Oreochromis niloticus: one gene and its partner. Each later gene encodes a partner of the first gene's protein in a complex. Links are inferred from orthologs where the notes say so. Each region holds a gene or a part of one and is shown on either strand. Other genes may lie near its edges.

Region 1 (7,853 bases):
TAGTCGACTGATCGCAGAAATAATCGGTGACTAGTCGACTATCAAAATAATCGTTTGTGGCAGCCCTACCCACATATTAAGTTAAGTTCATCTGAAGTCCAATTTTATATAATTTTGTTTATCTTAGGTATATCTACAGATGCTTTTAGGAAATGAACACTGATATTGAACTTCCTGACTTATATATTTTGCAACACTGCATACACTATATACTGTGTATCCACTAGGGGTTTGTAATGCAAGTGTCTGATTGACTAACTTTTTAATGACAAAAAACGTGCATCAGAAATGGACACCTGTACCAACATAAGTACACTGTTTTTACCTGTGCCGTCTCCAATTTCAGTTTGTCGATGGCCAAAGCTTGGCGCTGCAGACCGCTGGCGCTGACAGACAGAAGCTGTTTGAGGCTCTTGATGTCATCTTGGACTTTAGAAATGGCCTTTGATGACATTCTGCTTATATCCTCCTGAACTTGTTTTTGCTCTTTCACAAATTTTCTGCAAAGGAATTGAGAAAAGAAGGAAATCACTTGTAGATGACATAAAAGCTCTCTGACAGATATGCCAAACTATCAAAATATGCTTTCAAAGTGCTACTACTCAAACTACATGTATGCATCTGGGATTTTACACAGAATGGGGGAAATCCTAGTGACCTCACCAGATAAAATTTGGGTTGGGTCATACTGCTGCATTCAACCTAATAAACACCTGATAAAAATCACACACCAATACTTACTGAAAATTTTCAACATCCTGACAAATAACTGGGGGCAGGTTCTCATCTTTTAGAGCTTTGCTGTCTCTGAGGGTGAGAAAAAATGTTTTTCATCATTAGAACAGAAAGGATAGTCGGTGCTAAACAATTAACAGCAGAGTGAGACACTCATTGTCTCTCAGTAATTTTTTCTCTTCTCTGCATAACAGTGTGGACTCTTTTGTTAGACAAATTCCATAAGACAGTAAAGGACCGCGTTGGGTCACTAGGACGTACTGCGCATTGGCTCCAGAAGATGTGTCGCTCTTATTCTCAGAGGAAGTGCTGAAGTCGACTCCACCCAGGCCAATACTCGGAGCAGGAGGTGCTGATGACGCTGTCGAGGTTGCCAGCAGAGAACCGAACGATAACCCGCCTCCTGCACCGAGAGTAGCCTGACCCAGACCTGCAGCAAGACATAATCATGCAGTTTACAGGACTGTGACAACTAATTAAAAAGAACACACTGTAATTCAAAGCAGTCACTGTACTCCCTTAATTATCGCAAACACTTTGCATATCTAACTCAAAAGAAGTCTGAAATCATCTATCCTAGTGATGGTATTCTGTTAATACTTGGCCATGTTTTAACACATAAGCTCTGTAAAGCTGACAGTTTGCCTCTCACCTGTGGGTCCAGTGCTGGAGAAGAGACTGCTGCCTAGTGATGGACCTGTTGAGGCTGCTGTGGTGGTGGTCGTAGTGCCGCCGAGACCGAGGGCAAAGCCAGTGGCTGTAGGCTGCTGTGGAGCTGTGGAGGTCAGGACAGAGCCAAACGTCAAGCCTGTCCCAGCAGCAGCTGTCGAAGAGGTGCTAGTAGCTGTGAGGGAGAACGGCGTAGCTGAGGCTGTGGGCTTGTTGAAAGCCAAGCTAAAGCCAGTGGTGGCAGCTGTACTGGCTGGGGCACCTGAGAGAAAGTAATTGTGTTTAAAAAACAAAACAAAAACAAAACAAAACATAGTTATTACCTGTTGTTCAGAAACACTTCAACTTCAACTTCAAAATACCCCAGAGAGAACCCCAAACATACCTAATGTGAGGCCTGTAGTGGGCGCAGCAGCACCTGAAATAACACAAGGTCCCAGCATAAGATGGGCAGCTGGCGGAAATATCACAAATAGTTTTATTTCTTTATTATTTTGCATTCTTACTTGAGGCAGGTGTATTGAAGGAGAATCCTCCAGCAGGTTTCTGAGCAAAAAGACTGCTTCCTAGGCCAAGAGATGGGGTGCTGGTGCTGGTACTGGGGGTTGCACTTGCTGTACCCAAAACTGTACCAAAAGAAAAGCCACCGGTATTGGCCGCAGGAGCACTTTCAAAGAAAAAAAGTAATAGGTTTAGGCCCATACATTCTTCTACAATATCTTCTACAAGTTTCAAATTAAGGAAAGATTGACACTGTGTTATGGTTACAGTACACACAGATTAACAACTAGGACTTTGTCAAAGAAAATACACAGGGTCTTAAATTTCTATATAGAAGACCTAAAAGGTGATAAGTGCTTTACAGATGGATGGTAATCCCAACCACATTATTACCAGTTATGAACTAATTTCCCTCTTTTTAAAAAAAGTAACTAAAACTACTAAAGCTTAATTGTTACTTCAAACACTTCTCCTGGTAGCCCGCAGTTTGCAAGAGTTCACTCTACAGTGCCTGCATGTGCAAAGTTTCAAATTATAACAGAGTTTACAAATTTATCTCATTAAAATGCTCATCTATAACCCGACATTGCTGAATAACTCGGGAAAACAACGTACACAGCACTGACTTTGAAACTCGCAAGCCGTATATGCTAACGCCAAGATACCTCTGGTTATGCTAGCGTTAGCTAAGTGGGCTATCTGAAATTTGTCGTTACCTGGTTGCGCCCCCAAATGTGAATCCTCCACCTGTGTTGGTGGACCCAAGAGCTCCCGAACCAAAGTTAAAGCTAGACATTTTCTTTTAAAAGGCACAGTGTCAACACCAATCGGTTATGTGGGCTTAGCTCACTTCTGAAAACATCACAGCTAACACGACAGTTAGCTTAGTCGCCCGCGTGAGGGCCGAGCCCGCGGTCCCGTCTTCACCAAAACATACTTGAACTCATCAGCTCTCTCACTAAATCCCAAAATATTCAGTTGCTACCCGCTATGTTTACACAACCTGTTCCTCCGCTTCTATTTCTTAAACCTGACAATTATCGCAGGGTGCATTCACGCATGGTGTCACTTTTCTTATTCCCCGCCTGGTATGTCCTATATGCTAGTGCATTTTGGGTAGTGGATTTTCTTTTTTCAACTACATTAACCGTCATCCCCGCAGATATAGCGTCTCGTGATGTGTCACGCATGCGCATGGGATCAAGTCTGGCAGTCCTTAGCAGCAAATGTATGTTGAATCCGGTGTTCCTTTCAAAATAAAAGAGGCAGCTACAGACTATAATTACAACGCGGTAGATGAATAGCTCAGAGTACATTAATGTATTTGCAAAATTGAGTATAACTGGTTGCACAATGCTGATTCAAAATTGTCATTGTCTCTGTGAGTTTAAATAATCTGTTACTTACCTGATAAATGAGCAACAGCTCCATCATACTGAACCCGGGGCGGACGAATGGTTCAAAAGTTTGTGTCAGAAATAGTTTTTGGTAACCTAATGAACCAAAAAATTATGAAAACAAATATGTTGCAAATATGTTATCTGAGCTTTTCAACATTTGTTGAATTGTTCCACGTTTTTTCTTTTGGCCCAGAAATGTTGCAGAACATCCAGGTCATCTTTTGCAAACTCTGGAAAATATATTTTATCAATATTAATATCAATTAATGTTTTAATTTCATATAAACATATTAATACATGTTTCAGCAGGGATTTATTCAGATCTTTTGACATTAGGTTTGGGTTCTTTTTTTTGTTTTGCTCTCAGTGTGATATTTGCTAGATGTAACCTGTGCACAGTCCTGAATTTCATCCCTTTGTAGAGGGTGCCAAGAGGAACTGTGGCACTGCATGAGGAAGTCAGCAGTGGCAGGGAAGTATGTGAGGCTGGTGCTGTACTTGTTTTAGGACAGCAATACAGTGGTGAGGTGTGTGGTAGGCAAGATGGAGCCTAGCGACATGGAGAGAAGATCTGGTCTGGAGAGAAGAGGAATGGAAGTCAGAAGAAACAAGACAGAATCTGTGAGAATTAGAGGGAGACATGTGGAATGATAAAGCTGCAAGGAACAGAGGAATGATAATGAAGTTGGATGAGTTTACCTGAGGTCACCCATCCGAAACAATGGACAGATTTAGAGATGAGATGGACTGAACATATACAGAGGAGCAATGCTGTATCTACTGGACGAAAGATGTTGACTATAGAGCTGACAGGGACGAGGAAAGAGAAAAACTTCAGAGGGGGTTTGTAGATATAGTGAAGGGGGGCATGCAGGAGAGATGGGGTGAGAGAGAGGAAGATGATCCGCTGTGGTGATCCATAAGGGGAGCAGCTGAAAGAAGAAGAAGTGGACAGTTTGTCTTTTTGTGGACTGACCCACATCTGTAGAAAGGTTGCAGCAGCCTATTCCAGAGTCATGCTGAATCCTTAGTCTGATACACCGTCAAAGTAGTTATTTAGATAGTCAAAGGATGAACCAATTTCTCTTGAGAAGAGCACACGTTGTAAGTATATTTGCTTTAGTTTGACAACATTTTATAAGTAATCATGCCAATAATTATTATAGGTTGTAATTTTTTTATTATCTTTTATTTTGATTTCATTTTAACTTTGCTTTTCATTCAGTTAGTTTCCCAAAGTAGGTTTGATGGTTTCAGTTCAGTTTTTGTTGTTTGGAAAATGTTTAGTTTTAATCTTTTGAAGTATTATTGTTTTTGGAAAATATATACTACAGGACGGATTTAGAAAAAAAATCAGTGTCAATATTATAACATAAGAAGAACTTTTTGAAAGCAGTTGACTCACAGTCATACAGACATACAGAATCTCAGTAAGCTTGTCCATCAATGGCTCATTCTATTATTTTTCTTAGTTTTCCGAGTTCATTTCAGTTCATTTTCTTTATATCAAAAATCTATTATTGTCTTTTAATTAACTAAAGCGTTTTTCACAAATAGTTTAAGTCTTTAGGTTATATTAATCACGATAACTTCAAATGGCTTACAAACTCTGCCCTACAACCGCAACCACCAAAAAAGTAAAGGAATTCAAAGTTGAAGTTGATCCGGCTTTTATTTTGAAAAACCCCACCTCAAGCGCCGACGTGCTTTGCGCGAGCTTTACGCGGATGGAGTGAAAATAATTGACAATAAACACATATCGTATGCCCCCGAAAAAGTGAAGGCGGCTTGTGCAGGAGTCGAAGCTGTCACATCACCAATGATACATTTCAATCCGGAGGGTTTCGTTTGAAGCTTTGCAGTCGCTGACAGCTGTTTCGACCCGGGGGGGGGAAAAATGGAGCATATCCGAACGCCAAAGGTAGCTAACGTTTCTTGCTAATTGCAAATGGATGGGATACAGTCGGCAGCTGGGCCTTGTCTGTTTGCGATTTTGTTGGAAGGCTCGAGTGAGGCTCCGTTTTCTGGCCATCAGTGTTCAGAGTGAATTTGTGTGAATCGACGTTATAGCGTGGCGGCTAGTAGGTGTCGCCAACGACTCCAAGTGTCAGCAGACGTGACGAGCATCAATGAGCCGTTTGTTTTTTCCCGTTCATCAGGCAGATCGGCTTCCTCTATCTAATTTTACTACTTGCACGCTCTGCTATTTGTTGCGACAGATATCCACTGTCAGTACAGCCATTGAATTCAGTGTGATTGAAGAAGCAAGGAGAAGCCGGACCATATCCAGCACAGACACGCAGGGCTGACTTGGACTGTACGTCAAATAGGGCCATCACAGTTTTATCATCGGCATAAAACGCCAGACAGTGAGCTCACTGCCCGGGCTAAATCACTCCAGATAGACCAGATTAAAAGGAAAGCAACCAGCTGAAAAAGGCGAGAGTCGAGGAGTGCTGCAGTACAAGTTTAGCCCTGCCAGGCCTGTACTGCTAGAAAATATACTGCTGTGTGTGTGCGCGCAAAAGAGCTGATCTCTTTAACCCTTAAATCATTGATCCTTTCAAATCTAATCTACAGCCATTCAAAAACAACCAACAACAGCCAACAGTCCTAGTACATATAACCTTTGTAATCTTCATAATTCTTTTTAGTCTGCCACATGGTGGCTGGGTGTGCTTAATGTTATCTAACGTCTGTGTTTTTGATCATGTTAGGAAGCAGTATGACACGATTCTTGAGGTTCAAGGACAATTGTGTTATTTGTCGGTGGGGAAAAAATAAAGAAATGCTGAGATCTGGTATGGAAACAGACGGGGAACACCCATGCAGAATGGGTGTTCCCCGTCTGTCTCCACACCTTTCAGTGGTTTGTCTGGTTTAAAAGTCGGAGGAGATTATTATTTGATGTTATAGTGTTGAAAACAAGCTGCTTGTTGTAACAATCTGGGTGGTTTAAGTTGCATAGGCACGTAACAGAATGAAACACAAATCCTAACATTAACTTCCCTATAAGATGGTATGAGGTGGTCTCTGTCCTCCCTCTCTCTTCCCTTTCTCTCTAACCTGCTCATTTATTCTCATGCAGACACACACACAAACACACACACACACTCAGCTGACTTCCTGTATGTTCCAAGAAGCTGACTTATGACAGAGCCGCGACCCGCAGGTTGCTGAGCGACCTAGAGAGGCTTGATCGTTTCATCATATCTCAGCAAACGGAAACAAAGTGGAGGATGTCTGAGTCAACCAGAAACAGCTAATGTGATGAATCATGGATTCGGACAGGTAGTGCTAACAGCACTGCACAGTCCAAAAATCAGTGACTTTCCAAATGCACTTTGGCTATAGAGTGAAGGTGGCAGGAGCTTTTATTTTGATATGTCTTGTCTCTGTGATGCAACAGTGCAGAGCAAAGTCCAATGGTGATATTGTTTGGGTTTGTTTTATATTGTTGTGACACCAGTCTCATAAAGATCTTTAGTAACGTTTTAAAAAGATTGTGCTGTATAAAACTGCTTTCATTCATTTATTTATTTTTTTCTAGGATGAAAACCAGAAGCACATTAAAGGTTTTTTTTAAAACCTGTTATAGCTATTAGACCTAAGCCTTCTTCCTGTGTGAAAACTCGTGACTTGAGTAAATATATAACTCACTATATCTGCTATATCTGCATTTATGTGGTATTAGTGTTAAAAGTTGCTACACTTTCACTGTTGCAGCAATTGAATATAAATTTTCAATAAGGAAGTAAAAACAAAATGAACTGTGTTTGACTTTAAGCTAGATAGGATTGTTTAATTAAGAGGCAGGTGGTTTATTTATTAAGGCAGTGGCAGCAAATGTCACTTGTGATTGCACTTATTAAAATTAAACTGGCAGCTGATAGTGAGGGCCAGGTGGCCAGGATTAATTGGTGTGCTAGCCGGAACTGGTGCCAGTAATTTTTCTGTCAGGTGTCAACCCTGCTCGCAAGATGCCGTCTCTTGTAGTCTCAGTGTATCCAGCAAGAGAAGCAAAGGGTGCTCCTGATTATTTAGATATTACCACTATGTACATCTGTTTTTGCAGGTGGAGCAGGTGCGGCTGTTGGATCGCTTCAGCAACAAATCCATTCACGGCACTCTGTACCTCACAGCCACGCATCTCATCTTTGTGGAGAGCAACTCTAACAACTCGGCCTCTGCTGGACAGGAGGTCTGGGTGAGTAGTTTTTGTGCCAACTATGCTGCCCATTAATGCAGGTTTCAGAGTGCTTGCATATGGATGTCACCTCAGCAAATGCACTGTTGTGCAGAGGCAGGAGGATAGCAAGTGCTCACAGAACTTTTACCTCCTGTTGCCAGTTTTCTATAAATTGATGGTGCAGTTTCATGCAAACCAAGTGTGCTCTTTAGACAATTTGGTCCTCTTTTTAGTCTACTAATAAATATTTATTACCCTGCAAAATGTTTTTATGTTTTTCACTCCTGCTACACCTCTGTGAAGGTTTGCTCTGTGTGTGTGGTTTAAAACCCCACCTTTCTAGGCTTTGTGTCTAGGGG
Region 2 (7,404 bases), on another chromosome or scaffold:
TGAGCAATAGAAGAAGAGGGGTGGAGAGTACAGGCAGAATAAAAAAAAGATTCTTTGAGACCCAAATTTAAGCAAACAGTCATCTGAGGCCCATTAGAGAAAACACAAACACACAAAAGCAAACAAACAAAAAGATGCACTTTACCTGCCGTTCAGCAAACAAGGAAGTTCACAGAACAATAAGCTCTGTCTTGAAATCTTTTAAAGTAGAATGATTGTGAAAATGACTTATGTGATGTAAAACTTTAGTAAATGTGCGATTAAAAGAACACTGAGTAAAAGGACAAGTAACAATTTCCTTATTCCTCAGATGTTTACCTTGATGAGCAATACTGTTTTAGTCCAACTGCCTCATTAAAGTTACACAACAGGCTTTTTACATTAAAGCCAGCAAGTCCATTACATACTCCCTTTTTAGATCTGAAATACTGTGCAGATTCTGTGTATATGTAGTGGACAGCAATTTACCCAAAAGAGTGCAAAGTTTGCAAGTCCACCTCATTTAAATGACAAAGACAGATGTGATCATCTAGACCTGTGAAAATAAATTAATGACAAACTTGCAGTTATGGATGTTATTACAACCACAAGAACCTAAACAGTCTGCTCCATTGCTTTTGTTAATGAATCATTTGTTGGTAACAGGTCTGAATATTTAGTTTATGCCACCTGCATGTGATCATCAATAGTGCCATATTACTTCTTAAGAAGTACCCTGACACTACAATCTTTATATCATTTGTTCTACAGAGCTATTAAGTTACAATATAATCTGTGGTGTTTCCAGTATGACAAAATGCACAAATTGTAACTTACCATTTGACTCCACTGACAAAAATAAATCCCCAGCATCAAGTTTGGCTTCACAGACCTAAAATAAGTAAAATAAAAATATATGTTATAATTATATTGTTTTCGCCATTTATTCATGTTTGCTAATTTTCTGACATATAAACAATATTAGTTTTGTTACAATACAGAGAATGCAGTTTAATTAAAAGGTAAATTATGCAAAAAAACAAAAACAAAAAACTTCTGCAGTATACCATGCCAAAAATCAGTGTCTCTGATGCCAATTATTTTATCACTACAGCTCTTTTAGTATGGAAACTCACACAATCTAGTCATACTGATCACAAGAGTTCAAAAATAAGTTAAAATAGTGAGCTGTTGTTAAGCATAAAGCATTTCAGGGTAACAAATAACTGCACAATAGAATTAAAGCAAAAAATAAACACACTGGAGGACTATCTGATAAAAACTAATATAATGCTGGTTTGTAGACCATATTTTGTCTCAATCCTCAGTGCACTCTTGCAGCTTAGCATGCAGCAGTTAATAACAACTTAAGTGATTACATAGGGGTAAACAGATGACAACAAGCATCGGAGTCCTGCCAAAAAGTTCTTTTTGAACCCAGTCAGTTATTGGAAATATTGCCAAAATGAACTTCCACCAAAATACAACAGCCTGTGAACTTGAAAGAAATTTACAAGTACAGAGACAATATGAAATAAGCTTTATTAATTAGCTGAGTTAGCTTGCTAATATCGCAACAGTGGTTGAGTGCACAACCTTAAAGCTAGCGGCACAATACTTGTGATTTGGTCAGTGCCACATTAAACCCATAAAAAAGGCCATGTGTCAGTTTATTAGGTCAAGTTTGGTCATGACACACAAGCTGGACCTTGTCGGCTAAAGTTACATTAGCTAAAGCAAACATTTCGGTAAAAGAGAAAAACACACATCATGCCATAAATTCAAAACATGTTCCAACTTTTGTAGCTCTCTTTCCTTATAGTTATAACCAATGTTACTCACCTTGAAAGCATATTCCAAAGAAGACGATTAGAAAACGTCCAAGTAAAGTGAGCATGTCGTTAACCGCCAATTCCCCATGATGCACCTCGGTAGGAGTCACGTGAGGCAGTTTTGAATCCTGCTGTGCTCAACTTACCCACATTGTCAAGTTCACATAAGTTTCTGATTTAGCTGGACATGAGTTTTCAAGTTAGCTTTTTTTGGTGTAATTGGGACGTTTTTAACTTGTAATTCTATGTTATAACAACAACTTCAGTCATCTATCGTCAAACTGATATAGAATAATATGTTGAAATAACAAACATCTAGAATTACATTTTACAGTGCAGTGGCGGTCCTAGCCTGTCTGGTGCCCTGGGCGAACACTCCCTCTGTGTAAATGTGTAAAAAATGTTACATAATGTTTGGAGTTTAGTCTGTTACTGTTACTATTTTTACCATTTTTTTTTTTTACCATTTTTACCATTTCTTCTTGGAGCAACTGTAACCCACATAATTTCCTTAGGGATTAATAGAGTATTCTGATTCTGATTGTTTCAGGATACATGACCTGCCATTATCCAATGACACATCTGCTTACCTGTATCTTTTGCTCGTTTCTCCTCCTCTTCTTTTCTCTTTTTTCTAAACTGAGCACCTGATGGCTTTGAACTTTTCTAGTCCATCTTCCATTGGTTTTCATTTTGCACTCCAGTATGAACACCCATCCTTCAACCCGAGGATCACCACAACATAACCTAATAGACCTACACCTTAGTTCACAGATTCACTTTGTCTGGGGTTTATTTCTGGGGTTTCACACAACCCAGGATTCAGATCATGAATACATAATGGTTTTTGGATTTACAACATTATGAATGAAATGTGCTCTATTTGGAAGCAGCAGGGCTCTCCTCCCCTTTCGACGGGTTGTGTGTGAGACTTTAAATCATCAAATTGTAAATTATAAATTTTAAATTGTTATTGATCCCTGTTATTGATTTATTTTCTTACTATATTGTTTGTTTACTTGCACTGCAGTAACTGGAGCCTCGTCGTCTCGTCTCTCTATATACTGGACTGTATGTAGCGGAGATGACAATAAAGTTTACTTTGACTTCAGCAGCAAGCAGGCGCACCGAGGGCTCTCGCGCTCACTTTTCGCGTATAGAATTTCGAAAAAACATCGGTGCAAATTATAAGTCTGTATCATTATGTCTGATGTTTTCGTGTTTGTTGGTTTGTTTTTATTTTGTTTTATTTTGCGGGTTGGTTATTAGATGCTGCTCCAGCCAGCCAGAGAATCCCCCGCCGCCCCGCCCTCTCCTCCCTGTGCCGCAAGCAGCAGGCGCACCTCGCAAACGGATGGCGGCCTTACTCCCAGCAAATGGGCGATAGAAAACCGATCGGTGCCTACGACATTCCCAAAATGCGCTGGCATCATGTCGGGGCAGCGTGAGTACGAGCAATTTTTTTTTTTTTTTTTTTTTGCCCGTGATGCCGCCCCGGGCAACCGCCCGTGTCGCCCGTATCAAAAACCGCTACTGATCTACTGGGATTTTCCCACACAAGTATTTCTAGGGTCTAAAAACTATCCAGTGAGCTGTAAAGGTCAGAGGAGAATGGCCAGACAACTTTGAGGAGAAGATTATCTCTGAACGCATAACACATCAAACCTTAATGCAGATCTGCGACAGCAGCAGAAGGCCACAGCGATGCCACCCCTGTCAGCTAAGACGGGGAAACTGAGGCTACAATTCACACAGGCTCACCAAAATTGAAAATAGAAGGTTGGAAAATGTTTTCCAGTCTCAGTTTCTGCTGCAACATTTGAATGGTGCTGTTGTAAACATCCTGACTTGTATCAGCTGGGCAGGTTGTTGGTGGTGCTGGTGTAATGTTATCTTCTTGGCACATTTTGGCGCCTCTTAATACCAACTGAGCATTGTTTAAATATGACGGGCTGCCTGAGTATTGCTGCTGACCATGTCCATCCCTTCTAACAGTGTACCCATTTTCTGGTTCCAGCAGAACAATGCATCATTTCACAAATCTCAAATGGTTTCAAGCTAATTTTTTGAACATAAAGAGTTTATTGTACTCAAATGGCCTCTACAGTCTCCAGATCTCAATAAATAGAGATGCAATGTGCTAATTTCCATCATGCATGTGTAGAAAATAAATCTGCAGGGTGCCCAAAAATTGATTCCCAGGATTTAAACAGTTGTAAATGACATGCTGGCTTAAAATCTTCCAGAAGGAAGATTCCCATTGCAATGTAAAAAGCTAAAATAAAAAAAAAAACGATATAATTATATAACATATATTTTATAATGTTGGTACAGTATTGCAGAGTAATAATCATACTTGCAAAGCAGGTCATTTCTTTATTTATATATAAAACCCCTTCATACCCCCTCTTGATTGCAATCTATTTACCAATATAATCAAATATAATGCACATAGAAGACACACGGAAACATCTCACTTATTGACACAACACCGGTCCTGTTCCTTGCCACAAATATTTTTCATAAAAGTACTCTATTTGTTTCGGCGGCTGTTGAATTAACATTTTGGGACAGCAGGTGGCGGTAGTGTGCCACCCAGTTGGACCAGAGTCAGACGAAGAAGCAGCAGCAGCAGAAGACGAAGAAGAAGAAGAAGGTGTCTGTGGTGACAGCACTCAACATGGCGTTCAATTTTGGCGGTGCCACGAGCAACCCAGCAGCAAGTATGGATATTTTTTAGTTAATTGGGAAATACTTGTAAGAGCTGGTAATGTGTTACATATTTCATGTCGAAGCTAAAGCTGTGTTAATGCTTGTACATGAGTTATAAATAGAAATGGCAATGCTAATGGTTCACCCTCAGTTGTTACGGTGGGTTCGTCTACCGGCTAACGACAGACCTCACGTGAAAACGGAGAGCTTTTACACTTGAGTCAGTGCAACTAATGAACTGTAGTCGGATTTGTGTTCGCGTGTTTCGGTGCTAATCTGGGCTCCAATGAGACCGAGCTCTTGTGGCTAACTGTTTTGGATGCCCGTGTGTAAGCTAAAACAAGCTAAACTCACCCAGTACTTACAGCGCTCTCTCGTTGTTTGTTTGTTTCTAAAAGGCACGTCCGGGTTTTCATTCGGTTCATTTGGAGCCAAAACTACGCCATCGACAACATTTGGCTTCGGGACCCCAGCCACTACCACCACAGCCTCATCCGGATTCGGTAGTAAGTCCACAGCTCAGACCCAGATTCCTCCTTGCGGGGATTATCCTGTGCGTGGGGCATTATCATCACGTAACCGCCACCAATATGAACATAGAATGGGTTTTTTCCCAAACCCTTCTCCTCAAAGCATAACTGAGCCCACTGGGTTCCCTCAGTCTAGGGCTCAAAGGTTCTGGGTTGTTTTGTTTGTTTTAAATTGGGCATTTCTTCACCTCTCGATGCATTTTGAACATATCTACCAGTTGGTTTCTTGGGTTTCCTTTTTAAAGCTTTAACACTGGCAAACTAAGCACTCACTATATGGTGCACCTCACAGATACAGGCAGCTGCTAATCAGTCCTAAATAACAAACTAATTAAATACTCAAATGTCACTCATAAACCCAAACTGCTTGGATGGATGGTATCACACAGCAAGCCATATTATTTGCCAAAAAATTCATTTTAAAATGCTCAAAAGGGCACCAACGCTATAAACATTGTCAGGGGGTCCAGTTCATGATGAGCTTGATGAAGACCACCACCTGAAAGGCATTGGTGGTAAAGCAAGCATTCCTGGAGCTTCTCCAAGAGGTCTGGTTATTTGGATTAGCAACCAAATGTGCATTTTCTCACTGTTTAGCAAGTGGTTGTTGGCTGTTGTTGCTGTGAAATTGGTCTCAAAGAAGAATGCAGTGGTGCATTGAAAAGCCTCCTTGTGATTGCTAACAGATAAGTGGTCGCATATAGTTTGCATGGAAGATACACCAACTGCTCTCCATGCACTAGTAAAACTGCGAAAAGTGTGACACAAACTGTAAACTGGGAGTGTTCACCTTCAGAGTAAAAGTTGTATGTTTTGAAACGTATTGGTTGAAATGCTGAGGCATATGTCATTTGAGGGCAACAGAACTGCGTTTCTGGTTTGTCGCACTTTTTCCAAGTTTCACTACTACTCGACAAGTAGTTAGGTGTTTGCAGACAAGTCATCATCTTCCATAAGATGCTTTTGATGCAGCATTTTCGTTGCAACCGATTTCACTCAGTGACAGCCAGCAGTCTTCAGCAACCAATCGCCAACCAGGGAATGTGTTTTTTTTTTCCCTTGCAACCAGTGGTTGCCACGTAGTTGCCAGCTAGCCTCAAAGCCTGTGTGATCTTGTCTAAATAGGGCCTTACTAGTATTCAACACAGACAGTTACATACAGTCCAAAACTACTAGGCTGTTAATGTGGTTTTCATAGCTGAAGTTGAGCATTTTATCATGGGAGTCTGGGGATTCACTCACATCTGGGAACTGGAATTGTGGGCACTTTAGTAAACGGTCCCTTTTTAAAAAAAAAATTCCTTCAGCGGTTGCTACATAGAAGTTAAAGACCCTCTTCTGCTGGCTGTTAATGTTTCGTTTTACTAACTAATGCAAAATAAAGCCATGCATATATAATGTATTATTTCTGTGTGCTTTGCCTTCATTAGCTCTAACAGCCCCTGGTTTTGGGGCAGCCACCACCACCACTGCTGCACCAGCCACAGGCTTTAGCTTTGGCTCCACCAACACTGGTAAGATGCTCATTGTTCAGACGCGTAGCTTTTCTTTTAAGACACTTGAAGACTGTTTTTACAATAAATGAGTCCGTGCTGAATCTGGCATTGTGTCATTTAATTCCATGTCATTCTCTCTTTCTCGCTGCCTGCCTGCTTTGGCTGCAGGATTTGGGGGGCTGGGAGCTGGAAACACCACGGCTGGTGGGTTTAGTTTTGGGGGGTTCGGTTTAAATGCAAACCCGGCAGCAGTCAGCTTTAATGTGGGGTGCTTTGGTACAGCAACCACCACTGGCACAATTTTCAATTTTGGTAATAGCCTGGCTAGCACAGGTAGATGACCTTTGTGAATCAGTACACTCTGTCTGTAAACTTACATTTCCATCCATTGTTTGATATCTGTGTGGATCAAGGATCGTTTTATCTTCACCTGGTGATTCATTTCATGAACACAATACATCGCTGTGATTGCATGAAGAGACAAAATGTTGAATTTTTTTACTCATTTCATTTGATTGCTGTGAAGAGTCAGTACACTTTCACCTTTGTGTAGAGGTAAATCGCTATATTGTAGTGAAATTCTCATTCTCCTCTTATTAATGGTAGCAGTTGTGAATTCATTCTGTCATTCTCTCACCTGTTTTGTTTGTTGGTTTGCTTTTGGGGGGTTTTGTCGCCTCGTTGAGCACATTTCTTTTCTCTTCTTCTTAGGCACATTCGGTGGCTTCGGAACAACAACGACAACTGCTGCTGCACCAGGGGCAACATTTAGCTTTGCTCCCCCTGCAACGGGTTAGTTATAGAGCTGGTTTGAACCCCCACTCTGCCTTATTACAGTTAAATTCATTTCAGTTT

Evidence for each region.
Region 2: the proteins of nup58 (region 1) and nup54 are in contact, whole or in part, in a crystal structure (PDB 4JO7), measured with the Homo sapiens proteins. The link is inferred for Oreochromis niloticus from reciprocal best matches to the Homo sapiens genes NUP58 and NUP54. Residues at the interface, in NP_054808.1 of Homo sapiens: Pro342, Tyr345, Phe346, Leu349, Val350, Phe353, Gln356, Leu357, Tyr360, Gln363, Ile364, Leu367, Leu371, Gln374, Ser378, Ile392, Tyr393, Phe396, Leu399, Ala400, Leu403, Ile406, His407, Val410, Lys414, Tyr417, Tyr420, Arg421; in NP_059122.2 of Homo sapiens: Tyr453, Leu459, Glu462, His466, Leu467, Gln469, Gln470, Gln471, Gly473, Leu474, His476, Leu477, Ile478, Ile480, Ile481, Asp484, Leu485, Ile488, Lys489, Leu490, Val491.

Annotation. Positions count from the first base shown.
Region 1 is NC_031974.2:22,932,806-22,940,658, reverse strand, and holds the start of nup58 (nucleoporin p58/p45), read right to left. Parts: upstream 3,078-7,853; 5' UTR 2,702-3,077; coding exon 2,622-2,701; intron 2,072-2,621; coding exon 1,911-2,071; intron 1,823-1,910; coding exon 1,790-1,822; intron 1,667-1,789; coding exon 1,388-1,666; intron 1,166-1,387; coding exon 997-1,165; intron 808-996; coding exon 742-807; intron 501-741; coding exon 326-500; intron 1-325. Other genes in the region: phosphatidylinositol-3,5-bisphosphate 3-phosphatase MTMR6, read left to right, coding at 5,203-5,226, 7,381-7,512. UniProt on the Homo sapiens protein: Component of the nuclear pore complex, a complex required for the trafficking across the nuclear membrane.
Region 2 is NC_031972.2:17,440,938-17,448,341, forward strand, and holds the start of nup54 (nucleoporin p54), read left to right. Parts: upstream 1-4,374; 5' UTR 4,375-4,491; coding exon 4,492-4,534; intron 4,535-4,921; coding exon 4,922-5,029; intron 5,030-6,483; coding exon 6,484-6,567; intron 6,568-6,717; coding exon 6,718-6,882; intron 6,883-7,260; coding exon 7,261-7,341; intron 7,342-7,404. UniProt on the Homo sapiens protein: Component of the nuclear pore complex, a complex required for the trafficking across the nuclear membrane.